Linked DNA regions of Xenopus tropicalis. The protein of the gene in region 2 purifies or fractionates together with the protein of the main gene of each other region. This does not show direct contact. Links are inferred from orthologs where the notes say so. Each region holds a gene or a part of one and is shown on either strand. Other genes may lie near its edges.

The links.
Region 1: the proteins of utrn (region 2) and mark2 purify together in Homo sapiens (affinity purification with mass spectrometry; 4 studies listed by BioGRID and IntAct, with this or other methods). This does not show direct contact. The link is inferred for Xenopus tropicalis from reciprocal best matches to the Homo sapiens genes UTRN and MARK2.
Region 3: the proteins of utrn (region 2) and dtna purify together in Homo sapiens (affinity purification with mass spectrometry; 3 studies listed by BioGRID and IntAct, with this or other methods). This does not show direct contact. The link is inferred for Xenopus tropicalis from reciprocal best matches to the Homo sapiens genes UTRN and DTNA.
Region 4: the proteins of utrn (region 2) and sntb1 purify together in Homo sapiens (affinity purification with mass spectrometry; 3 studies listed by BioGRID and IntAct, with this or other methods). This does not show direct contact. The link is inferred for Xenopus tropicalis from reciprocal best matches to the Homo sapiens genes UTRN and SNTB1.

Annotation. Positions count from the first base shown.
Region 1 is NC_030680.2:36,150,786-36,157,042, forward strand, and holds part of mark2 (serine/threonine-protein kinase MARK2), read right to left. Parts: intron 6,237-6,257; coding exon 6,058-6,236; intron 4,448-6,057; coding exon 4,350-4,447; intron 3,871-4,349; coding exon 3,721-3,870; intron 196-3,720; coding exon 1-195. UniProt on the Homo sapiens protein: Serine/threonine-protein kinase. Involved in cell polarity and microtubule dynamics regulation. Phosphorylates CRTC2/TORC2, DCX, HDAC7, KIF13B, MAP2, MAP4 and RAB11FIP2. Phosphorylates the microtubule-associated protein MAPT/TAU.
Region 2 is NC_030681.2:45,398,910-45,405,890, forward strand, and holds the start of utrn (utrophin), read left to right. Parts: upstream 1-3,141; 5' UTR 3,142-3,177; coding exon 3,178-3,274; intron 3,275-6,981.
Region 3 is NC_030682.2:112,828,509-112,834,765, reverse strand, and holds part of dtna (dystrobrevin alpha), read right to left. Parts: intron 6,214-6,257; coding exon 6,054-6,213; intron 4,030-6,053; coding exon 3,940-4,029; intron 1,852-3,939; coding exon 1,683-1,851; intron 352-1,682; coding exon 225-351; intron 1-224. UniProt on the Homo sapiens protein: May be involved in the formation and stability of synapses as well as being involved in the clustering of nicotinic acetylcholine receptors.
Region 4 is NC_030682.2:138,612,339-138,618,595, reverse strand, and holds part of sntb1 (beta-1-syntrophin), read left to right. Parts: intron 1-1,773; coding exon 1,774-1,913; intron 1,914-4,003; coding exon 4,004-4,200; intron 4,201-6,257. UniProt on the Homo sapiens protein: Adapter protein that binds to and probably organizes the subcellular localization of a variety of membrane proteins. May link various receptors to the actin cytoskeleton and the dystrophin glycoprotein complex.

The DNA of each region.
Region 1 (6,257 bases), on a different chromosome or scaffold from region 2:
TGGCTGTTCCCAGAAGGAGAAGCAGGTGAGACGCTTCCAAATCCCAGGTTCTGTTGGTCCCGAGCTTGGCGGACCTGGCCAGCATGAAATGTGCTGCGGCTGGAAACACCACGAGGGAAGTTGGTCCGCTCTGTTGCGGCACTACTTATGTTGTGAGCTGAGGGGGATGCTACAGGCACTCTCTGGGGGGCTGTGCTGTGGAGGACATAAAAAAAAAATAACAAATCACAATACGTCCCACACATATATTCTATAAAACATAAACATATGCCTCCCAAAGTATAAATGAACTAAATTTCACAGCAGTACTATATGTATATACATAGATATATTGCACTCCATAAAGCAGCCTTTAGAAAAATAGATCAAATCTACTGAAATATTCAGCAGCCCCTTAAAGGAGTAATGGCACCCTGGGCAATTTGTCTTCTGTCCAAGATCGCCTATAGTACAGGTGACAAAATGCATGAATAGCATTGTGATTCTTTGATCCTTGTGTCGCTCCAAAATGCATATTGCTGGATTTTCAAGAGATAAGTGACTGAGTGATCAGCTTGATTTAGCCCAACATGTAGGTGGCCGAAGTGGCAGACTTCACTGTGTATGGCCAGCTTTAACTGTATTTTAGCTTCTATACAAACTGACTGGAAGCTATAAGTAGCATCTGGAGTGCTTATAAACTGGCAATTAATGGTGTAATGGTGGCTTTGAAGCAAAGAGTAATACTGACAGTTCAGTAACTGACTGGGTTTCATTATAATGTATAGGGAAGTTATATTATAAATTGTTCCACAGACTTTCTACCAAAAGAAAAAAAAAAACACGTAGTACAAGTTGCTTGTGTCCCATGAGCCTTTACAGGTAATCTGGTCTAATCTGGATAGTTAAAAGTGTTTCATTTCAAAATCCTTGAGTTGAGGAGACAGGTATTTTTTGTTTGAACAGTCCTGGGTACAGGTAAAGAGAACTATAAAAAGAAAAAGCACTGCACTCATAGGTGTGTGTATTATATTATACACACAAAGACACCATGGTACTTTGCAAAGGTACTTTGGCTATACACAAATTCTTCTGAAGAAATTATACACTGAGGTACAACACTAAATGCAGTGAAACTTAAAACATATTTTTTCTTATGTGACATTGTTTTATTAGCAGATATGCTCCAGGATGTTTATTCTAACCACATGATTTTTTGTGAACAAATATTGCAACAGATTCTCAGTTGTACTGAAATCACCACTTTGATTGGGCTATTGTAGACATTCACGTTGTTACCCTGGCCTTCTGTTTGGGATAGTTATTCTGTTGAGAGATGAATTTTCCCTCAAGCCTCATTTTTCTTTAACAGACTGAAACATGTTCTCTTATAGTAATTACCTGTATTTTGCACCAATTACCTGTACTGTGCACCAACCATTCTTCTGTCTATTTTAACAGGACGCTCAGTCCCTGCTGATGAAAAGCCGTCTCGCAGCAGTAAGGTACGCCTACTTGAGGTGCACAAATGTCATCTGACTAACCTAACAACGTGGAGCAAATCTGCCTGGGAGAATGGCCCAAACTCACTCCCAGTGTGCAAAGCCAGTACATACGCAAAGGCGGCTATACAAAATATTACTGTGGGAGGAGTGAATACTAATGCAAATTGCATATTTGATTAATTGTGATTTAGTGTATGACTTTACATTAAAATATATATATATTTTTTTTAAAAAGTAAAAGTGCTTTGAGGAGCGATACGGAGTTACCTTCCCAGAATGTCTTCTGTAGGGCTTTAAAATATCACATATGATGTGTATGATTTAAAGGGTCTGAATTCTTTTGAAAGTGTGTTTGGTGTATCTATATACAATATGTTTTGTTACTTAATTGCTTTAGTTCTTTAATTTAACAAAAACACCTACAGAGAACCCTTTTTACAGCACCCACCTTACTTACTGAGAGGTATATTTTCTTGAAAATGTGCAAAAACTATACAGGTTCAATCAATGTTACCCTTCTTATAACAACACTTTATTCATAATACAGGCATGACATTATTTTTAGTTTTTTAGATTTTTTATTTCATTAACCTGAAAGCATATCCCTGTATAAGGAAGTACAGGTATCAGACCCCTTATCCGGAAACCCATTATCCAGAAAGCTCCGAATTACGGAAAGCTCATCTCCCATAGACTCAATTTTAATCAAATAATTCAGAATTTTAAAACTGGTTTCCTTTTTCTCTGTAGTAATAAAACAATACTTTGTAATTGATCCCAAAACAATCCTATTGGGGTTAATTAATATTTTATTGATTTTTTAGCAGACTTAAGGTATGGAGATCCAAATTACGGTAAGACCCCTTATCTGGAATACCCTTGGTCCCGAGCATTCTGGATAACGGGTCCTATACCTGTATTACAATTTAAACCAATATGACTGTTTTGCAGTTAACACTGATTATGGTAGTTTAGTTAATTTTAACTGCAAGGTACTTTTTAATTATTACAGATTAAAAACCAAGTGGTGACAATACCATTTTTGTAAGATAGGAGGCCAATAAACTGATCACAGTATATCTCAGGAGAACTGTATATATCATTCTAGAAAAAAAGCATTTTGATTCAAAAGCTGTAGATTTCTTGTTTGGAAGGGGAATGACTTGCTTAAACATTAACCTAGCAAAATATGTGTTATCTTCTGCTTTCCTAGACTTCATGTCAAATTTAAATCTGAACAACCCCCTGCACCTCACTGCACATCATTTGACCTCTAACTGTACGTGTGAGCCAATTGCCAAAGACAAGTGGCTCTCTTGCCTATGATTTAAATGTCCAATGATGGCGAAGGATCCCCAGAGTGGTTTATTTAAAAACACCACCCAAATCTGCCCCCCGTAGTAACCCACAGCAACCAATTAGAGATGAAATTTAATTAGAGAAGAAATTCACTCACTAAAATTAAAAGGGCCCTTTTGACTATTACGGTACTTGAGATATATAGATTTACAAAACCATATTTTTTCTATATACTGAACTTTGAAATGCTTGGTACAGTGAGTAAGTAGAATGAAGAGTTCTATATGCTCACACCTACAATAATGTTAAAAAAATAGTTTGGTGAACCCTAACATATACTTGAAAATGAAGGGCATGTCAATAGAAAAGTAACATTTTACCTAATAAAAAAAATAATTATCATGAGCAACTTTGCAATATAAATTCATTAGAAATTTTCAGTGGTTTGTCTGTCCCTTTCTGTTCTCTGCCCTGGTGGCTCTGACTTTGGAACAGTAAGACAAGACAGCTGATTAAAAGGCATACCTTTGCTGGAGGAGACTGACTTTTGCAACATTGTTTAAATTGTCATAACCAGAAGTTAAGCAAATGTAATTGTAATAGCTGTTACATTTACAAATAACTGTTAAACCACTGAAATTTGTAATAAATGTATATGGGAAAGTTGTTTAGAATTATGTTTTTGTAAATTTATTGGCAAACATTTTTTTTGGGGGGGGGGGGGAGAAGGGGGTTGTCATGCCCTTTGAAAGGAAATACATATTTGTACATTATTATATCAGTTAATAATATGATGATGTGTAATAAATATAAATCTAAATTTACATCGGTCATACAGAATATATTACTTGCCACTAAATTCTCCAGTCACTGCCTGCAAAAGTTAAGTTATAATCTATGTTCTTCATCTATGCTCTTTTGTCCCTTTTAGACTTGCCTTGGCCTTTGAACTTCACAGTTTCCATCCAGGGAAGGAGCGGGTTTGGAAGGGTGCACAGAAGTGGACATGGATTTCTGGTGCTGTCGGATCCGAGCAGAGGTGGCTGGGGCAGAAGCGGTGGAGGCACGGGACCCAGGTGTAGAGAAGCTGAGAGTGATATTCAAATGGAGAAACAAAACAGAAAATGGAGACACAGACTAGGAAAGAATGAGGAAGGGAGACACTGAGATTTCTGTAATGAAAAGGCTTTCAACACAAAATGAACTTCTTCCACTGGGGGATACACAAGACTAGGTATTATGGACATATATTTTCTAGAGATCACAAGGTGAGAATGCACTGATGATACAACATGGGCTAATAATATTCCATGACACTTGTGGGATGATACAATCTTGGCGTGTTCATGGTAGCAAATATAAATGTGTTTCATTGTGATTGAAGGCTTATAAATGATAAAAGTAGCGAATTGCATAGAAGCGTTTTGCAGAAGGTATGTTCCATTGTGAGCCTAACACAGCTATCAGTAGCTTAGACTAAAGATCTGACACCTTTGTTATACCAGACTACTAGAAGAAGAAAGACATGGAATAATATAAAGTATTAAGGTAAGACAAATTTCTTACCTATCCTTTCCATTCTGTACAGATCCAGGCACAAGTGAGGCTCTGTCCAGCATTGGCGAGTTGCGACTGCGATTAGTGCCAGTAGAAAGTACACTGTTCTGCAAAGTGGCAAAAAAAAAAACAGCAATTAAACAGACTATTTGAATGTAGAGGGGAAGAGCATCTGATATTTAAAACTCACACAATGCTCTCTATGCACAAAAACAACATTCTCACCACTTTGAGGAAAAAAACAGTATGAACACAACTGCATGGACTGCAGTCATAGGACACTAGAGGTTTGATAGATATTCTAGCAAAATAATTTGCAAGGGTATTTATATAATGAAAGTCAGCCATATTTGCACACAATTTACATATTCACATATCTGCAGATATACTTTGAATTCCTGTACATTAACATTTTTAAACATCAAAGCTAAAATCAAGGTACAGAAATCAGTACCCTATGTAGCCCTACTGTCTTAGAAATACTACTTCTTAGAATAACCTATTTAAGAGCAGTATCACAGAGATCCACAGGATTTGCAAGGTAAAACAATTGTTTTTTGTATATGTGCATACTAGGTACAGTTTTAAGAAGATGAGTCTAGCCAGGACAAAACAGAAACTACTCCAACATTTTTAATTATCTAAAAGTTTCAAGTAGTCCTGTGGAACCACTGCTATTATGTAAGGAGGAAAGTGACTGGCAATCAGAAGTTATTTATTTATGTATTTAAGGACAAGAAAAAGGGAAATTCAAAGGGTGCCAATGTGTTAGACACATCCCAGTAAATATCATCACTTACCTTAGATTGCCCTGGGTGTATTCCTGCTGCACACTGCTGCCAATGCCCCACTGATTTTCATCCGAATACCGCACTTGCACAGTACAGTAAAGACCAGGCTTAAACTTTGAAGTCACAAATTTTACTCTACTGCACATGTACGCTATCTGGAAAGCACAGAGGAGCATTGCACAAGATGGTGGAAGTTAAGGATAACGTTCATTGGGGATGTCTAACACATTGGCACCCCAAGTGAATTTCCCTTTCCTTTGCCATCAAAGGGTGAAGAAACAATTCATCAGGGGGTACTTAACCATTAATATCAATTGTCAGAAGGTGGTTGCTTTACATAATCCACTACATACTGTATTTCTGGTCATGTTATGACTAAGCAAGGCACAAAGCTAGCACACCTTAAATACAAACCAGCACTGGCAAATAATAAATATCCTATTGTGCTCTGCAGAAAATATCTGAAAATTTGTGTATATGGACCCAGTCCATGATCAACTCATCAGCTGCATGCCAGAGCCTTGTTTAACCAACACTACTCTAAAATTAATATCACCTTAGGCATAAAATAAATACATTAATCTGACCCCTTGCTATCTGTTTAGTTTTCTATTAATTTCAATGACTTCACTGATAAACATTTTGATTAGTTCACTGTAAAAAAAAAAAAAAATACTACATAATAAAGAGAATGTAAAGATAACTATAGAACTGTTTAATTAAGCATATACCCTAAAGTTAGCGGCCATTAACCTGGAGTGCTGAATGTTGCCCATGGCTGTGACATCAACTCCTCCCTGAATTAATTACCATAAAAAAAAACACAAAAACATTGTTTGTACTATATCAGAGACTCTTTCATTCTCACACAATAAGTAATATTAAACAATACAGGCAAATATAACACTGGGTCTTCAAGAACTGACCGTAGATGGGGTTGGTGTTGTCTTCTTTCTGTCAAGCCCAGAAAGAGGACTTGGTGGAACTCGGACAGTACTGCTGGACTTGCGCCCACTTTCTTTGTCATCCTCAGATCGCCTGTTTTCAGCATTGTTGCTTTGGGTCTTCTTGGAGTAGGAATTGGAGTTGGGGATGGCTGGTCCAGCTGAGAGAGACAAATAATGTT
Region 2 (6,981 bases):
ATTTTGATAAAAACCAATAACTTTAGGAAAGCATTGCGACTTGATAGTTTGGAGTAGACAGACAGTTGTGCCTATTCTGTATTCCCCAGAATCTGTTCTTTCCAAAAATGTACAATTTTCTGGGATAAACCTTCTGTTAGTGGAATTTTGGCCTTGAAATCCAAAGTATGCAGTTTTTTTGGAGCAGTGCTTTGGGAATTTGGTAGTGTACTGCTGGGAGTTTTTGACCTATACAAGTGAGAAATCTCCATAAAACTATATATATTTGGTATTGGCACGTTCAGGAGACATGGGACTTTCCAAATCAGTTGTATATTCGTGCATAAAATAATTTTTGTTTCTAGTATGTGTGATTATATTATGGAAAATTTGATTTTTTTTGCATTTTTAGTCATTTAGAAGCCTATATCTTGTTACAGAATTGGAATTACACAAAAATTCTACCATATTTTGAAAGCTTAGGTTGTTCTGAAAAAAACGATATATTGTTTTCCTTGGTAAACTAAAAGTCCCCCCGAGGAAAGGCCCCTAAAGTGAAACAGTGCAAAATGTTCAAAAACTGTCTGGCAATACAAGTTCCGCTTTGACCAAAATGGCTGGCAGTAAAAGGGTTAAACCTTTTTCACATCTATAATAACATTGTCTTTGCATGCTATTTATAATTTTGCTATAAAAGTATTTGCCTGATGCTTTTACATTACCTATCTGATCCCCCATTTTCCTCTGAGGGGGCTGCCATATTTGTGTATCAGTAGTCTCTTAGCATTAGAAGCTATAACTGACAGGTTGAGAAGGGACAATCAGGTTGGCAAAACAGTGAGGTTTAGGAACAATTACTTACAGAAGCAAACTCAGTGAAAAATGATCAAAATAACCTATACTGTAGGTAACTTTTTATGTACATTAATATTTTGAAGAGTAGTTTTTTATTGTCAGTATCACTTTAAGAAGGATTTTGTGTCTCCTGTGCTTGCCTAGGACTCCATAGAACATTTGTGTTTTGATTTAATTTTTCAAATATACAACTTTCTCCATATACATGGTAGATTAACGACCATTATATGATGGTCGTTAATCTACCATTTACAGGGAGAAAGTTGTATATTACAGAGATAAGAAGACTGCGTTTAGGCCGCCACTGCCATTCTGCAGAGAATAGCAGTGGTCAAATGCTCCTGTCTGCCCCTCAGTTCTTAATTCTCAAGGATCAGGACAAGGTTTTGTAGCATCCAACAGAATCATGTGCTTCTGTATGTTGTTGCATGTACTGTAGTTGTATGTTGTTTTTGTGGCATGGACACTAATACCTTCAGCAAAGGAGTCTCATATAGTTAACTCCTAGGTATAGTGCCATTTACTCATTTACTGTGCCACAATTGAGGCTGATTCTTGTGGCTAGTGTCACAATCGGGTCAGCGCAGTGGCTTGCTCTGACAAGTGGCAACTTGGAGCAGTAATGTATTTTGTGAATAGTGATATTAGCAGTCAACAAGAAGTTCCATGACCATATACAGTAAAGGCATTAGGCATAGTGCTTATACAGGTTACAAAAGGGATACACTATTTATAATACACATTTTTCTTTTTTTTTTTTTAGTTGATTACTTGAAATCTCACTTTTTCCTTAATCTAAACTGAATTTAGTTTTAATTCCTAAATTTAGATTATAGAGAGTCATGCTTTAAAGTTCATTTTTAAATTCATTAACTGCCATTGCTACAGTAAATACTGTCAAACATAAATCTGTTTAGAAACCAGCTGCTTCCTCTTGTCAATTAGTTATTCTATGGAAGCATCAAATTTAAGGTGACCAAACCCTTTGGGACCATCACACGTGTTTATAAGATGCTTATTCCGCTGCATTCTTTAAACACACACTGCAACTCCAGTCCTGGTCACAGAAGATTTTGAGGGTGTTCTTGGCATTAATGATACAAATAAATATTTTTTCTGGAAAGCACTTGGAAAGGATATATATTAACACCAGACAGGACCAGGTACAAACCAGCAATGCCAAAGATAGGCATATTGCTAATAAGCTGAGGCATGTGGAGCCATTTTGCCAAAATATTGACAAACAACAGGAAACCTAGCTGATCTATTTTCCTGATAGGGTTCCAGCGCTAGTAAAATGCTGCCAGAGGTGAGTTACTTACCTTGCCTCATGGCAATAGAGCTCGCAAGGGGTGCATAAAAGAGAATACTAATGGCCTGAACACACTGATGAATTTGATCATGTTGTATTTGGTTTGAAGTGTGTAAATAAAATGTAATTGGTCAGAAAAGTACTCTTGCATGGACTGACCTGTTTTGATAGGGTAGCCACCTTTTTGTTAATGCCAAAACTATATTAGCAGAGAATAAATGTCTTGCATTGTAGGCTACACCAGTGTGTTTTTTTGTTTTTTTTTAAATCGGTGTTTGTCTGTGGGATATAATCATGTTTGCTTACCTGTGGATCAGTGCTCGGTAGAACCATCGGTACCATGGGCACCCAGCAGATCTGGCAGTGAACTGCAATATACATTTCCATATGTAAGGGCGCAGCTGTGATTGGCTACCCAAATGTAACTGTACATCTATGTGAATAAAATTAACACAAACTCATCACTAATTTTAACAGCTACAGGAATCAGAGGGGATAGGGTGTTCCAATAAAGATTCAGTATTTTAAATAAATGTCCTCTGTAGATGTGCTATTAAAATAAAAAAATATAGAATAAAAATGATATATAGTTAAATTTGATCATGGTTTACTGTTACTACAGAGCTATCCAGTTTTTCTTTTAACTACAGCTCCCATGATGCTCAGCCAACTAGAATGCTGCAGGTTAGGCATGAAGCACGTTTTAGGCCAAAACATATGAATAAACATGAATTCTCTTTTAGCATTGCTAGGAGGGTTCCAAACAATTTGCTTGGCAGACTTTGCTGCTAATGTTTCTAATTTATTTATCATACAGGACCAGATGAAGTTCTGGTTCCCACACAGGCTTGCCTGCCTCTGTTATGCTTTCTAACCCTCCGGGGAGTATTTTGTCTGTTAGTGTTTTCACATACTTTCTGCGTAATATAGGAAATCCAGTGAGTTCCACACACGCCCACAATGCATTTGCTTCTAGCTTAAAATCAGTATCCGTTTCCTCTGCTGCTGCTGCTGCTTGCAGTTACACTGACATGAGTGTGAAGGGGCTGCCTGCACAACCTGCATGGAAACATCCCCACTTTTCTCTCAAGGTATCATCAAACTTAAGGACACACTCTGTGACACCAGGTACAGATATTAATAATTCTGGGGGGATAGTCAGTGATGTAACTGCTGCCAGCCTGGAGTGGTTTTTAGGACTGCTTCACCAAACCGGCATCTTTACACCTGTTGCTTGGAAACACTATATATGCAACTGATTTCTGCTCCTGCATACTTTTATTCATTCTGCAGCAGTACAAGTGCTGCCTTTAATATAGTTTAGACTGATGTTAGATGGGCAGCATTCCATGAATTGATACATCCATATGTTAAGATAACTAAAGGGTAGTTCACCTTTAAACAAACTGTAACATCAACAAAAAATGAAAGTCAAGTCTATCAAAGTAATGTATTATTTACTATTGCCCTGCACCAGTAAAAAGTTGTGTGTTTGCTTCAGAAACACTACTATAATTTATAAACAAAACAGCTGTCTAGCCATGGGGGCAGCTTCTTAAATTGATAAAGGGAATTTATCTGTTATTTGCCATGTAACCTGTGCCTTTTTCCCTTTTTTGTAGCTTAAGGGCTCTGGCACATGGGGGAGATTAGTCGGCCGCGACAAAACTCCCTGTTCGCGGGCGACTAATCTCCCCGAGTTGCCATGACCTGCCATCCCGCCGGCTGGCACACGCGGCGGACGATTTCAGGAAATCGCCGAAAAAGACTCACGAGTCTTTTTCGGCGATTTGCGCAAAATCGCGCCGCCGCGTCTGCCATCCCGCCGGCGACTTACATGTTCGCCGGTGGGATGGCAGGGGTAGGCAACTCGGGGAGATTAGTCGCCCGCGAACAGGGAGTTTTGTCGCGGGCGACTAATCTCCCCCGTGTGCCAGAGCCCTAAATAGCTGCCCCTGTGATTACACAGAAGTTTACTTATATAAACTATAGTAAACACACAACCCTATAACAGTGCAGGGCAACAGTACATTATATTTTATTTATTATAAAAGATTTTTTTTGTTTTTCTCTTCCTTTAAGTTGCAGGATGTTTTACAGGATGTTCTAGCAAATCCCCTTTATTTTTAATAGTTTTTTAATTATTTGCCTTCCTTTTCTGTTACTTTTTACCCAAAAAACTAAATCACTTTGAGGAACTACAGTTTTATTGTTATTGCAATTTTTATTTCTTCTTATTCTCAGGTCCTCTCCTGTTTATATTTCAGTTTCATATTCAACCCACTGGTTAAACTATACCCTAGCAACCAGGTTGTTGCTAAAATTCTAAACTGGAGAGGTGCGTTAAAAAAACACACACACACACACACAAAATAAAGACCAACTGCAAACTGTGTGAATTTACCTGCCTACATCATACTAAAATATATTTTAAAGGCACATCTGGGAGAGACCTTTGTATGAGCTACTGATTATGGACATCAGGGCAAAGGACATTATACAGAACCTTTTAAAATACATATACTGGCCCATTTCAGTTGTTTCTATGCAGTCCGTTGTTGCTATGGAAAACTAGGGTACTCCCAAATGTGAGAAGCATAGAGGCTGAGCCCTGGAACTGCTGTTTCATTTTAACAATCATTAATTGATATTTCATTGGTACTTGTAGGAGCTGCCACACATGTGATCCTGACAATAACAAGATAGTAAATAATCACTTTTTTTAAATGTAACTTTTAAAATTAGTTATTTTTATTTTGCTTACTCTCATGTTCCCTAGGGGCAGCTCTATGATCAAGGTCCTGGGCTTCAAAGACTGTTAAAATGTAATACGTAGTTTGATATATTCTCATCCTTCCAGAGAAATGCCACCAATATTATACCACTATTATAGCAAATTGTCACTGTGTTAGTGTTTAGCTTGAAGTCGTTACTTAGTTTTCATTAAGTTTTCTGAAGGTGAATTGCACCTTTAACTTTCATAGCAAAATGACATTAATGTAAAACCTGTCTATTAATAGGATAGATTTTCCTTTCAATATTTTCATCTCCTTCTTTACATTCCACCTTGCAGTATAAATCTAGTCTAAGCTCCTGTGCCTGACAGAAGCACAATACTTCTTAGCTTGATGCCTTTCAGCAAGAGAGACCGAAGCTGCGCTGAAAGCTTTTGTTACATTAGAACAGTTGTACCGTAGACTGCATAGAGGAATGGCACACCTGTCGCCATATAATAACATTATATTATGCAATACAGCTTAAAGAAGAACAAGTAAATGAGCTATTTCAAGGTAAACTTATCTATAGAATATACTCAACAAATATGGAGCAGTTAAAAATCATGATAAATAGTGTGCTCAAATAGTCAGTGGGCTCTTGCCTACACTCCTAGGATGTCTAGAGTGTGGGCCTTTTCCTACTAGTTCACACTGTTCACTTCATGCACAGACCTGTAGAATGTATTCCTTACATAAATGTAAAGCTAAAAATAATCGTAATAACAAGCTCTCTCTGTTTAGATTATAGTTATGGTAAGTAAACAGTTGCAGGCACACTTGACTGACTTAGGACAATGTCACAATGTCACGCTGATGCATTTTATGCCATCCATTAATAGAAGAGTTGCACACAAAGAGTGTGGATGGCTGCTTGCAATACAGATCTCTGGAGCCAATATTGCTGAACATTCCTGGGATGTCTGTTGCGTAGGCTACACTACATCAGTGAAATAAACAATAAATATTTGGGTGCTAGTTTACTTGGGCATATATTGTGGGGAGGGTTGTGTCATGATACAAAGGATTATGTGTTTATTTTAGAAAACTACAAAATAAGGTAATGGAAACTTGGAAATAGACTGGTAAACTGAGAAATGGCCAAAATTTATATGGCACATGGGTAGCTCTGAAAGGTGAAATGCAGCAAATTGTGTCTGACCTGTGTTCTGCAGTTCAGTGAGGCACAGTGAGTCTATAGGGTAAATTGGGTTCTGTTAACTCATGCATTCCTGTCCAGTGGAATGTGATGTGTAAGAGCCCTTGGGAACCTCCAAAGAAAAACTAAAGCTATAATCTCTGTGGGGCACCAAATTATAATGCACCCCCCAGGGCTAATACCTCCTGTTAGCAGAAAACTGCAGTGGCCTAGGTATTTCTGGCTTCTCTTCTCCGGGTCTGTGCAGGCACATATGCAATACAGTGAAAATGTCAGCCTGTTGTGCCAAAGTTCAGCTTTCAGTCTACTAGGCATGCACCTGCCTGTTCCAAAGAGAAGGCAGAAGCAGCAGAAGATGTTGGAAAAATGTACCCTTGCTCCATGTGAAGGTGAATGTGCTGCAGTGTTGCATGGCCTGTCCACCTGACCTATGGCTGTCGAGGGTTATGGCCAAGAGACAAATTTGTCCCATGTTAATAAACAAGCCCCGATGACTATTCATGTGGATTTTCTTATATGGAATATGCCCTCAGGGTGCCTAACGTTTTGGCTTTTATGAGTGGAAGTTAGCAACCCCTGCTGTTGCTAATATGACCCCCCCCCCCCCCCGTGACTCCTGCCAGTGCATAACATCCACTGTTCAGTTTTTTTCCCAGGATTGTCACAGATCATGCTTGTTTGGCGAGGTCACCATATGAGTGGATTTTCCCCTGGCTAATATGAATTTCCTAGGTCAAAATGATTTAATTAAAATGACGATTATAGGGGCCTTCAGACTGAAGGCCACCTCAGTGAGCCGAAGTGGTCCCCAATCTGACACAAAAATCAAAGTGATCGACACCTGCCTGATTTTTGGCCAGATATTGCTCAGGAAGGCCCCATGCATGGGTAGATGAGCTGCC
Region 3 (6,257 bases), on a different chromosome or scaffold from region 2:
CATGATCCCAGCTGTATTAACTTAGACTCTTGCTTCTGTTAGTTATAATAAATAAGGATTTTATAGATAGAATTAAGAATAAGTAAAAATATGATTTGGCAGAACAAATACAAACTTAGAAACTCAATGTATTTTGCTCCTTCAAAATGAATGTTATTCAAATATGCCATTGTTCTGCTTTTCAAAAAAATGTCTTCCTAAGTGCTAAGTGTTTGAATTATCACCTGATAAGCTTCATCTTGTAACTTCTGCTTTAAATACTCTTCCATCTTCAGCTCATGTTCTAACTGGCGCACAGAGTCATTCTCATAAGTCTCATCATCATGCCGACCGTAGGAACCCTCTGTACCCCTAAAAAGCAGACAGATGATCTTATAAAATGATTACAGCGGCACTGTTCAAATTAAATGTTATTGACTGTCAGAGATTAAAGTAAAAATGTATATTGTTTCCAGCTGCTAAAAACACTAAAAAGAACTGCTGGCACAAAGCGCTAAAATAATACATTAGACTTCACACAACAAAAACAAAACTGGCAAAAGATCATAGCAGATTTGAAATGCTGCACTGTCCAACATAATGTTCACTTTAAGAGGACATATATTCCTGAATCACAGACAAATATTGTGAGTGCAACCTTCAGTGCAAGATAATGACCGCTAAATACTGATCTAACCTGTGCTAAAACAATTCTTTTATTTAAGTGATTTGCTTTTTCTCTGTACTAATGAAAAAGTGCCTTGTACTTTATGCTTTATAAGCCAGAATAAATTCATATTCATGGCAACACAGTATACCGAATTCTGGAAACACCCATTGTCAGGAAGATCCCAAGTATTCCCAAGAATCAGATAAAAATTTATTATCCAACCATTTTAATTACTATTTAGTGTAGGAAAAATTATACTTCATCACAAGTATAACGAAGGCCCACTATAGACAGAACAGACACCAATTTTTGGTCACAACCCCAAGATTAAGAAACATTGGTATAATAGATTCCATAATTACATATGTATGGTGTATAGGCACACAGTTGGTACAATAGTCTTGTTCTGAAATGGGGATTTTGGAACATAAAGCAGTACAACTGGGCTTATATAAAGGACACCCAGTATTCACTGAGTTTAAACAGAAGGGAATTTGCTCTTGTCATTTGGCTACTTTTAGAGCTAAAAGAGGTTTTGTAATAAAGGTTTGCCCTGGGGCAGTAACCTATAGTAACCAATAAGCAAGTACAATTTTCTGGTCACCTATTTAAAAGCAAACATCTTATTGGTTGCCATGGATTACTGCTACTGGGCAAACGTTGCCTTTTATGGAATACATGTGTATAGGAATCCAGATGTACTGAACCAAGTATTGCATTTAGGTCCAAGTATTAAACCAAGTATTGAATTTTGGTCCTGTCATGGAACAAGGCATTTTTCTTGGTTAGAGATGTTGGAACTCTGGTGTCTTTAGATGTAGATAATTAGTGGAGAACTCCTGGTCAGTATTCTTACCATCAGCAGCTCATAGGACACAAGTGCAGTTCTAATAAAAACATTTTTTTTAGGTTGTGGAAAGTTCCAAATTTTGCCCTTATGAATGTTCTACAGTCTTCATAAAGGAAAGCCCAAGGCTCTGTATTGTTAGCAAGAAACATGTCATTGTTGTAATGCATTGAAACAAATACATACAAGTCAGTGCGAATGTTGCCAGTAGCAGCAGAATGATGATTAAACCCTGGTTTTCGTGCATGGATCTGGGCAAGGAATGCCTTCTCTGAGGTTGGGGAAGGAACCAAATCATCAAAATGAACACGGCCATATTCGGTATCCACACCACACTCTGTTTCATTTCCAACATCTACAAAAGAAATATCTGGTGTTTATCTGGTGTTTACCTTCCCTCTCAAACCACATACAGAAAATTCACTGATCCACACTTACAGGTGATGCCAAAGGAGACTTTTGCACTTTATAAAGTGCAAAAGTTTCTTGTGACTTATTGGACAAATGTAAACATAGGTATTTGCAAATAACTAGTATTAATAAACGACTCAGTGCTCTCTGGATAAAATAACACCCACATACAGAGCATTAGATGCTGAATAGCTTGTGTTAACACCCACCTGGCAGGATAAGTTCTTAATTTATCCGTATGTGACGTACAAACAGCAATCAGTAAAGCAGAAGGAAATGCTAAATGTCAAGCCTCATTCAGGATGAATCAGAAGTGCAAGTTAAGGCTTTAATAATGTCAGAATTTGTTCATGCTAATGTACAGCCCATATTGTAGCTATAGTAAGGCTGCTATAATATATACCTATTTGTTTTACCTGAATAGGCCAATATTTACCATGAATGCTCTTCTCAGTTATTTTGCTAATCATAAAATAATTTGAATTTGGTTTAATTTACAGTATGTGTCCTGGGGAGTCTGCAAGTGACACAACTTTGATCACTAAAACGTTAAGGGTATCCATATCTCTGAAGCAGAAAGCTCATCAAATGATTCAGTCTATAAAAGCCTCTACCTGCTCCCTTCACATGCTATATTACAAAATAGAACTGCAAGCTTATTCCAACTGAATCATTATGTTGGGCTGAAAACCCCCAACTTCAGCTGATTCTTCCTCTTTTTCTTCTTCTTATTCTTAGCGCCCCCCATTTTCTAAACGCCACTCCTCCTACAGTTTTAGGGGTGCTGCCATTCTCACAGTAATAACACCAGGGTCCCCAAACTTTGCAGGGTTAGGCACCAGGTAACTGTGGTTCAAGGTTAGAAAAAGCGGGCGGAGCCACCAATAGCAAATCAGATTTTACCTATTGACTTTCAATGGGGATATTCAACCTGCTGCCATTCTGACAGAATTAACACCAGGGTCCCCAAACTTTTCACAGTTGGTCACTAGGGGACCGAAGGTTTAGTATGGAAAAGTGGGCGGAGCCACCAACAACCAATCAGATTTCACCTATTTAAGTCTACTGGTTTGATGCCAGGATCCCCAAACTTTGCACAGTCAGTCACTGGGTGACTACATACTCAATGTTAGAAAAAGTGGGTGGGGCTGCCAAAAGCCAATCACATTTCTTTCATTGTTTTCAATGGGATAATTTTAACTGCTGCCATTCTCACGTGTTTAATGTCAGGGTCCCAAAACTTTGCCCAGTTTGTCACTGGGTGACTATGTTCCAAGTTTAGAAAAGTGGGCGGGGCCAACAGCCAATCAGATTTCACCTATAGACTTCATATGTTTAAATTTAAACTGCTGCCATTCTTTATATATTAATACTAAGGTCCCCAAACTTTGCAGAGCTAATCACCAGGTAACTGTGGTTCAGACAGATAGTTCAGAGTATCTAGATATAACTGTAACTGTAAATAACTGAAATAGCTTGTGTTTACATGACATGTTACTTGCCAGAAGTGCCAGTGTTTTTTATTGTTTTTTATTGTTACTGTGAATTCTTTGAAGCCTCCTTCAAAGTGACCTTATTCATAGAAGCCTTCTTTGAAGAACATCACTTAAAGGGTCAGTCTATCATCTTTTTGAGTATAAACTCAATGAATAAGACGGCTGAACACACTATTTCATATTAATTACAGAAATATCTTTGGTTTTTATATTTCTTTCACAAAACATGTCAAAGATTGAATTTGAAGCCAACTTTCACTTTCCAGCTTCCTGGCTACCAGCTACCAATCCAAAGATAAGCCAATTGGTTAATGAGCTGCTCCTCGCATCAGTTTGGGTAAAGGATGGGTTTGTTTATGCAGAGCTTAATATCGCTTTTTAATTAACCTATTGCGAGGCGGAAATGCGGGGAGAGGTTGTTCAGGAAAAAACAAAAGAACACATTTTCAACACAAGTTCTATTCACTGTGGTCATGTTGAGCAGTGCTGTATATGGGTGTATACTGACCTCACTGTGTTTAGCGCTAGACACTCACCTGACTTCAGCTCTTTAACCAGAGAAGACATAGTATTGGTAATGGAATCAGCTGCTACAAGTAAATCATTACGTAAATTTCTCCTTGCACCTGGAGAAGAAGAGAAAATATATGTGAATATCAGTTAATATAAGCAAAGATAGTTAAAAAAAACTGTAATATTTAGACTGTCAATGTTTTGCTCTTATATCAGATTAGCTTACGTTATGGGTCAGAGTTAGATGAAAAGGGGCAATGTAAAACTAGGGAAAATGATCCGAGTGGAGAAGAATGCTGTTAAACTATATCTCCCAAGCACCCCCTTCTAACACCCAAACCTGATGGATTGTTAGAGTTGCAGCTTGATGACAACAACTTTTTTAAACGATTTTAAAAAATACAAGTTTCAGTTTCAAGACATGCATCCATTTCACGTTTTGGTGTAAATTAAACCAGCCTAACTGATCCAGAGTTAAGTGAAAAAGCATCATGTGATACCTCTCCAGTTTGCCACACAAGGAGAAAAATTTATCTTGACTGGATCACTCAAGGTATTTACACAGGGGATTGGGGACTGGGCTGGCAGCCGACCAACAAGCGTTCCTGGTACGTTTATCTACAGTCTGGACCCCAGGAACCCTGGGAAATCAGGACAAATGGTCTTCTCTCCCTTAACACCAACAGACTGAATTTTAGAGGGATCATTTTAAAGTGGAGCAATAAGTGGCACAGAAATACAAGCTATGCTTTTACACTGTTGATTGCTTTGTGCAAAGTTAATTCTAGTTTATGTACATTTATAACTACATGCACCAAAACTTTTACATATGGAATTTACACCAAAGTGGAACCTCTGTGTACCTCCAGTGGCATAACACTGTGTCAGGCCCCCCGCAAAAACATCTTTGGAGGTGCCCAGTGCGCCCCTACCCAGCCCTCCCTTTAAACACCCACCCCACTGTGTTCCCCATTTCCCAGCAACTCACGCTGGGTAGGTAAGAGAGCGGCTGAGGAGATGGGATTTCTTAAAGCTATAGAGAGAGAGCAGACCAACTTCTTCTATAGTTACACTACTGGGCACCTCTATAAATACTGTATGTGCTTTCTTTAATGCAGATTTTTGGCATAAAATTACTTTACATATGCTCCCATTCAACAGGTTAACGTAACTACTTAATTCCTATTTGCTACAGTAATAGCTACACTGACATTAGTTTTTCAATTGAAACAGCATCATTTTGAGAGTATTTTATAAATGGGCTTTGTTCAAATCTGTGTCTGAGGCAACATAACCAGGAGAAAGCTGTACCTTAAGTTTGTCTGTGGCACCCAGTCCGGGCCCCTCTGCCCCTTTCCATTGTCGTCCCTCTTGCCCCCCGCCCTGCTGCATGACTAGAGTACGCAAGAATGCAATAGTGCTCTCTTCACTAGTAGAGCCGAAATCCCAATTTAAAATTCTCAATTTGGGCAAACATGGCTACCAGGAGCAGCTTTTTTCAATCCCTGATAAACAAATGGGCTCTGCCGCCTGAGGCAAGAATCACAACTTGCCTTGTGGCAGCAGTACTCCTGCACCCAGTCAGTGAGTTTGGTCAGTTGTGACTGTGTGGTTTACACGATTCCCCGCCCAACCACAGGAAACAGCACTCACAGTAAAGTTCTATTTAACATAACTTTACCTGGCTTCCACCAACTGGAAATCACTTAGCGAAGCACACGTTTGAAAACAAGCATCTCAGTTTGCATGTACATTTGATAAAAGGTATGTTGCAGTGATGTAAATATAGAGGAAACACACTCAACCCCAGGGGAAAGGGGGGCCAGACCATGGAATCTGCTTCCTCTATAGCTCTAGAGAATTCCCCCTCTCCAGTCGCTCTTCTACCTAAGAGCTAGCAAGAGAAGATTGGTGGAACGGAAACAGATGGGCACAGAGTGGAGAGTGGCAGGGTTAGGGGTTACAGTGCATTGCGGGCTCCCCTGAAGACTTTTTTGCAGGGGGCCTGGTGCCCTGTAGTTACACCGCTGGTATGCTGCTTGCTGAAATGTGTTTTGCCCTTTTTAGTGTTTTCCTCCCTTTCTTAAAAACAGTATGACAATCATTTAATACAAGCTTAAATTAGTTAGCAACATACTCTGAGCAAAAGCTTCTTGCACATCTCCCCCAACACCAGTCAGAGAATCCTGAGGAGTGTGGGTTGGGGTGGAGCAGGCAGATGCTGACCGAATAGGCATAGGTATCGGTCGGCTAATGGTATGACTAGGAGATGAGCGAGGGGAACCAGCCCCCTGAGTCTGTAAAAAGAAAAAATGAGACGTTAGAAAAGATGTTAGAAAAA
Region 4 (6,257 bases), on a different chromosome or scaffold from region 2:
TTTTTAAACATCTGGGCTGTATAATGTGATTTTTTAAAATATATTTAGTGGTATAGTTTCCCTTTAGCAGATAATTATATATAGAAGCCGTATTATTTTGATGACAGAATCCCTGTCGGATTAGGTGGCTAAAGAAACTGCTGAACTCAACTGAGAAAATTGGTTTCCTAAATGAGTAATGAAGTTGGGGCTCATCGCACAAACATTAGTCGCCTATTAGATGCGCGGCGTGTAAGCGTCCATCTGTCGCTGAGCTGGATGGGAAGAGGTGCCGCCGAGACAGGCCGAGACCTCTCATTTATTCAGTTTTGACACTCGTCTCTTCACTCATTTCCTTGCTGTGTGGGAGATTTGGGCTGTTTCTCTTTGTGGTTATTCGCAGTGGAAATTACCGGTGTGACTGGAGGCTGAGACCTGAGCTACATTTCATACGGCAATCAGGATGTGCTGGGAGCTGGGGCTCGGCCCCAGAGCCACATTCACATTCAGCTGGAAAGAAACAGCAGAAAAAAGAAAATAATTCAAAAACTTTAAAAAACATTTTGCTAAGATTAGGCCATTTTACTAAATACCAAAAATTAACCTGAAGGTTTGCTTTCTATATTATAAATGCAGTAGACTGAATAAACCTAAAGCAGAAGCCAGGGTCGGACTGGGGGGTGCAGGGCCCCTACCGGCTGCGTCCCCTAACCCCCCCGCCACAGGGGCCCCCACCCGACGTCCTCCCCTTAGTGTGTGTGAGTTTGACGTGTCAGGGGTGGAAAGGTCGGGCAGGATGAGCGCCGGCAAGGGAAAAATCCCGGTGGGCCCCGGCTCTAGTGGCCCACCGGGGCCCACTAGAGCTGGGACCCACTAGAGCTGGGACCCACCGGGAATTTTCCCGGTGTCGATCCTGGCAGAAGCAAATGTTTGTACTGTTAATAAATGACACTAAAGGGGTTGTTTATCTTTGATGCAGAGAGTGCTGTTCTAAGACAATTTGCAGTTGGTCATCATTTCTTATTGTGTGTGGGTTTTGGAATTTCAGCAGCTATCTGGTTGCTCGGGTACAACCATAGAAACCAGGCAGTGGCTTGCAAGAGAGACTTAGAATATGAATAGACGAGGGCCTGAAAAGAAAAGAAATAAATTGTAGTCTCGCAGATCAATCGTTTTTTTTTGGCTGCCGGGGTCAGTGACCCCCACCATTTGAAAGCTGGAAAAAGTAAGAAGGTCATATACAAGTGTACAATTTATTTGTATTATGAATGAAAGTAAATGTTTAGCAGTATCTGTGTTGGGCCAGGCTTAGGGAAGTTCTACATGGGGAAAACCAAGGTGACCAAAAGCTCCTTCCCTTTACCGAGTGGGAAATGAGAATATTTCCAGACAATAAACCATAGGGTAGTGTATAGTTACAATGAGTTTCTATATGAAACATAATGGCAGACTATCAAATAGGGGGGATTCAGCACAAACATCCTATAACACGCAATGGGTCTGACAGATAGGATGCAATGGTGGTGCCCTTTCTGTGCCTACAGCAGTGATCCCCAACCAGTGGCAAAGGGGCAACATGTTGCTCACCAACCCCTTGGATGTTGCTCCCAGGGGCCTCAAAGCAGGGGCTTATTTTTGAATCTATGGCTTGGAGGCAAGTTGGCAACACTTGAAACCTGTTTTGTGTCCATGCCGACATTTTTAGCTCTTCGGTTCCAGTTGCAGCTCCATGTGCTTGGCCTGTTCTGATCGGTTCTGTTATCTCCCACTAATGGGCCCTGTGCTTTGCTCTAGGTACTTGGAGAGAATGAGAAGCACTGGAAAGCGGTCCTGATGGTCCTGACAGAGAAGGATCTGCTCATGTATGATTCCATGCCTCGCATGAAGGACGCCTGGCTCAATCCAGTACATGCCTACCCACTTATAGCCACAAGGTACTTCCATCTCTCATTTCTCTCTCATCTCACTAGTAGGTTGGAAAGCCAGTGCACTTTGACTATCTTTAAATGTTGCACTAATATTTAGCCTATGGTCCAGTTGGTTGGATAGTGGGTCTTGGCAAATATTTGTTCAAGAGGAACTCCACCCAAACACAACTTAAGCTTGTTGAAAAGTAAACATAATTTTAAGAAACTTTGCAATATACATCAATTAATAAATATGCAACATTGTCATGATGTTTAATGTAATAATATGGTTTGGAACAGTTCCCTAAGCCCCCTGTTCCCCTGCTGATCTGGCTGACTACTTTGTGATTTAAAAAAAAAATGTGACATGAGTGATGTCAACAAGGAAAGGAACATCACAGTGCAATGCATTGTGGGTTATGTAGTTCCTGCATATCGGCCCTTTAGACCGATTCTGCAGCTTTTCCGCCTATGTATGGGCACAAACGACGGCCTGCCCAACCAATATCTGCCCAGAAATCGGGCAGATCTCCATCAGGCAGGTTTGATTTTTCAGTCAGATTGGGGAACACATTGGCTCGTTGATGCGGTCCCCAAACTGACTGCGCCTATACCCACCATTCTGATTCGATTTTTGGCCCCAGGGCTGGATTTCAGCATATAAAATGGTATTTATTCAAACTTTTTGAAGGAACAGATTACATTAGGGGTCACTGAGTTGTGTGGGGGCTCTTTAACAAATTTTGGTTTGGAAGCCAGAGATGACTTTTAATTGAGGGTTAAAAATGGGGGTACCATCTGCCATCAACTCACCTCCTTATTTTTCCAATCTTTTGTACTGTAGATCTCATGTACTCAGGCTCTGCCACATGTCTCAGAATGACAGCTGTGACAGCTGCTTATTTTTCCTTTCATTGTGAAAACCAGCAGTCACACATGGGAGACATCTCTATGTGCCTTTAGGGTAATGGTCCAACTGCGTCAGCTGAGCAACGGTGTAGCTGTCACTTTAGTGCCCAAATTTGAGTTTAATAGAGCATTTTTCAGCTATTTGCAATATTTTTCTATTTAATCTCAATCTTAGCTTGGCTATTTTTTCTCTTGCTTCCCAGTAGAACTAGAGGCGATTCCTACACTAGGTTTCATCTGCGTATTTGTGTCTATGGAACTAAAATAAGAAGGACAATAATAAAGCACAAATGAGTGCAAGTGTGGGAGAATACTGGGCCAGCTTTACCCATCGATAACTTTTAAATCAGGCCACTCTGGGGACATGGCTAGGAACATTATAATAAAATATTCATTGCTTTCAGAATCAATAACTGATCCATATAATGTCCCTTTTCATTCTGTAATGTCCATTAACTAGGTTAGTGTTACTGGGATTAGAGAGATGATGATCAGAAGTGTTTTTATTCATTATTTATTGTTCTCCAAATTAATCAATGATCCAGTTAATGTCCCAGTCCTTTCTAATAATTATTAAAGGGACAGTGGCACCAAATAATGGAAATATCCTACTTGCCCTTAAATATAATATTCACCTTACCTGCATACTTTCTAGCAGTTCCAGCCTTGTCTCAGTATGCCATTGTTTCTATGGCAGGCTAACTACAAGATCCTTTTTCGCTAAATACTAGAGACCAGAAGAGGGTCTGGCCTTGCAGCCAATGGAGAATAGCATTGCATTGTGGGAGATTCAGCCAAACAGGGCATCAATGGGACAGTAAGACATATCAGCATAGTTATTCCCCTATAATAAGTACAATTCTGATGGTATAGTGGTCATTAAGGGGCTATTCAAAGTAACTGTAGCAAGGTAATAAATAAGTTCCATTGTTTTCTATGGGGCATGCCACACAGACTATGATTTGAACTGAAAACTTACCCTATGGGTTGCAATCGTCGTTACATAGGGTTTAAAAAAGTCCATCAAGTTCCACCCTTCCAAGTAAACCCAGCACACACAAACCTATTAGCTACATTTCTTATGTGAAATTGGCATTAAGGATAATGTAGGACTGTATGGGATGTTTTCTGCAGCTATGTGTCTACTATTGCTGTCTTTACTACAACACTATTACAGCTGTACTACCTTAAATGTTCCTTCTTTTCAGGCTGGTCCATTCCGGCCCTGGGAAAATATCTTCCCTTCCTGGCACAGAGTTCTCATTTGCTACCCGGACAGGGTCGAAGCAAGGGATTGAGACCCATTTCTTTAGAGCCGAGACCAACAGGGATCTCTCCCTCTGGACCAGGTCTATTGTACAGGGCTGCCACCACTCTGCCGAGCTTGTGAAAGAGATATCAACTCGTAAGTACCACCTTGGCACAACTCCACTCCCTGCTTGAATGAATTAAGCACATTCTAAGTGTGTTCTGATATAACCAGAATAGAAAGTGCTTGTTCTTGCAGGATATTTACCAAATTTAAATGATGCAAAGTCTAAATGATCCAAAGTGTAAAGCCAGAGTCTTGCACAGATCACAATTAGCGTGTAGCATTGCTGCCATGCAGTGCTGGGGTCCTGAGTTTGGCACCAGGGTTGGACTGAGCCGGTGGGGCACCAGGAGAAAACCCAACACTAAAATGTCTTGCCAAGCCAGGACCAATCCCTTTCTCCCACCCTGCTGGCCAGGGTCTGCAGGCCTCAACACACCGCTTACATGCCAACATGGGAGGAGAGAGGAGGTACATGGTGAGGCACAGGTTGGCCGACCATTCCTCCCCTGACGCGTTCAACCTCACGTCAGGTGGGGGACCCTGCAGGGCATTAGGGAGGCTCAAAAGGGAGCACCTGCTTTGAGGGTTAGGGGGTGTGGGGGACGCGGCCGGCGGGGGCACCTGCCCCGGTGGGCCCTGCACCCCTAGTACGACCCTGCTGAGGCAGGAATTTGCAACACAGGGCTGCTGCCTCCCTCCCTGCTGGCTAAGATCTGTGGTCTGGCCCCCCCCCCCCCGCTAGCTGAGATCTTCAGGCCCGGGAGGAGAGAGGAGGTATGTGGTGGGGAGAAATTGCAAAAGGGTAGTTCACACAGTTGGGGGAGTTTGTGAAGGGGGTAATAGTGGTGGGCCCTTAGGTGACAGCCCCGGTGGGCCCTGGAAACCACTGTTTGGAACTATCTGCTATAATGTTTGTGTGTCTGCATGCAGGGCTGCTCAAGGGGCCAGTGGGCTCAGGGCAAAGCTGTGAGAGACAGGCCCCCTCACCAGCCCCACAAAAATTTGTAATAGGGCTTACCTTGAGTAGAAGAACATGAATATAATGGACAAGAGAAGGAAATAGACTGTGCTTACTGAAGTAGGCATAAGGTTACAGTACCCCAGCCTAGAAAAATTGCAATCACTGATACCAGATTTTTATTACAAAGACCCCATAGTGGCATTTGTTCTATTAGGATGTTAAAGCAAACAAATATTCTACAATAGTTGTGTCCTAACTGATTAATATGGGGCGTCTGTGTTTTGTGGGAGATGCGTCAGACAGACGTTATAGAAGCTGGCAGGTGTGAATATGGGACCCCAGTCCAAGTGGGCCCTGGGCAAATGCCTCATTTATTAAAACAACCCTGTCTGCAAGGGTTTCTCCCAGGTAGCCTATATTCCTTCCATGCTCCAAAAACATACAGGAAAGTTAAATGTAATGGGGCCCATAGATTGTAGGCTCTACTAGGGCAGGGACTGATGTGAATAATGTATAATCTCTGTAAAGTGCTAAGTAAATGTGTCAGTGTTCTTTAAATTGAATTGAATACAGGTAAAAGCGCAGGAATGATTATGAAACTAGGAAAAGTGCCTATATATACTTTAGCAGTGTTTTAAACACTATGTATAGCTAGGCACAAGGCAGCAAGGCACAAAAAGCCTCTGTTTTCCCAGAATTTCAGTGCAACAGAACACAATATAGTGTACTATGATTTACTAATGTGGGATTGGGGTTACTTACTATACATTAATCAGTGTTTCATCAAAGATTGACTGTGTGTAGGCACAACAGGCAAAGGGAACTCTGAAATAGCAGCTCCTTAAGGCAGGCATTCATTCCAGGATTCCGCTTCGTTTAAAGGTGCACATTTTAACCCCATTTTAGCGCTTTGCACTTGTGTTTGTAAATGAGCATTAAAGTTTGATACACATACATGGTGCCATCCAGTGGTGAAGGTTTTGTATTGCAGTGTTTCATTATGGTTAGGAGACAACCATATCAGGGCACAGTTTTCAGCTTGCCCCATGGCAGAAAAGGCACGGGGAATATTTAGAAAGACTTAAAGTTAGTGTTACCCCAAGAAATAGAGCACCGTTTGGCGTCAAAGTGATCAGATATTGATAAACACTTTAAAAAAATGCTGACTTGAATGAAGATATCAGCA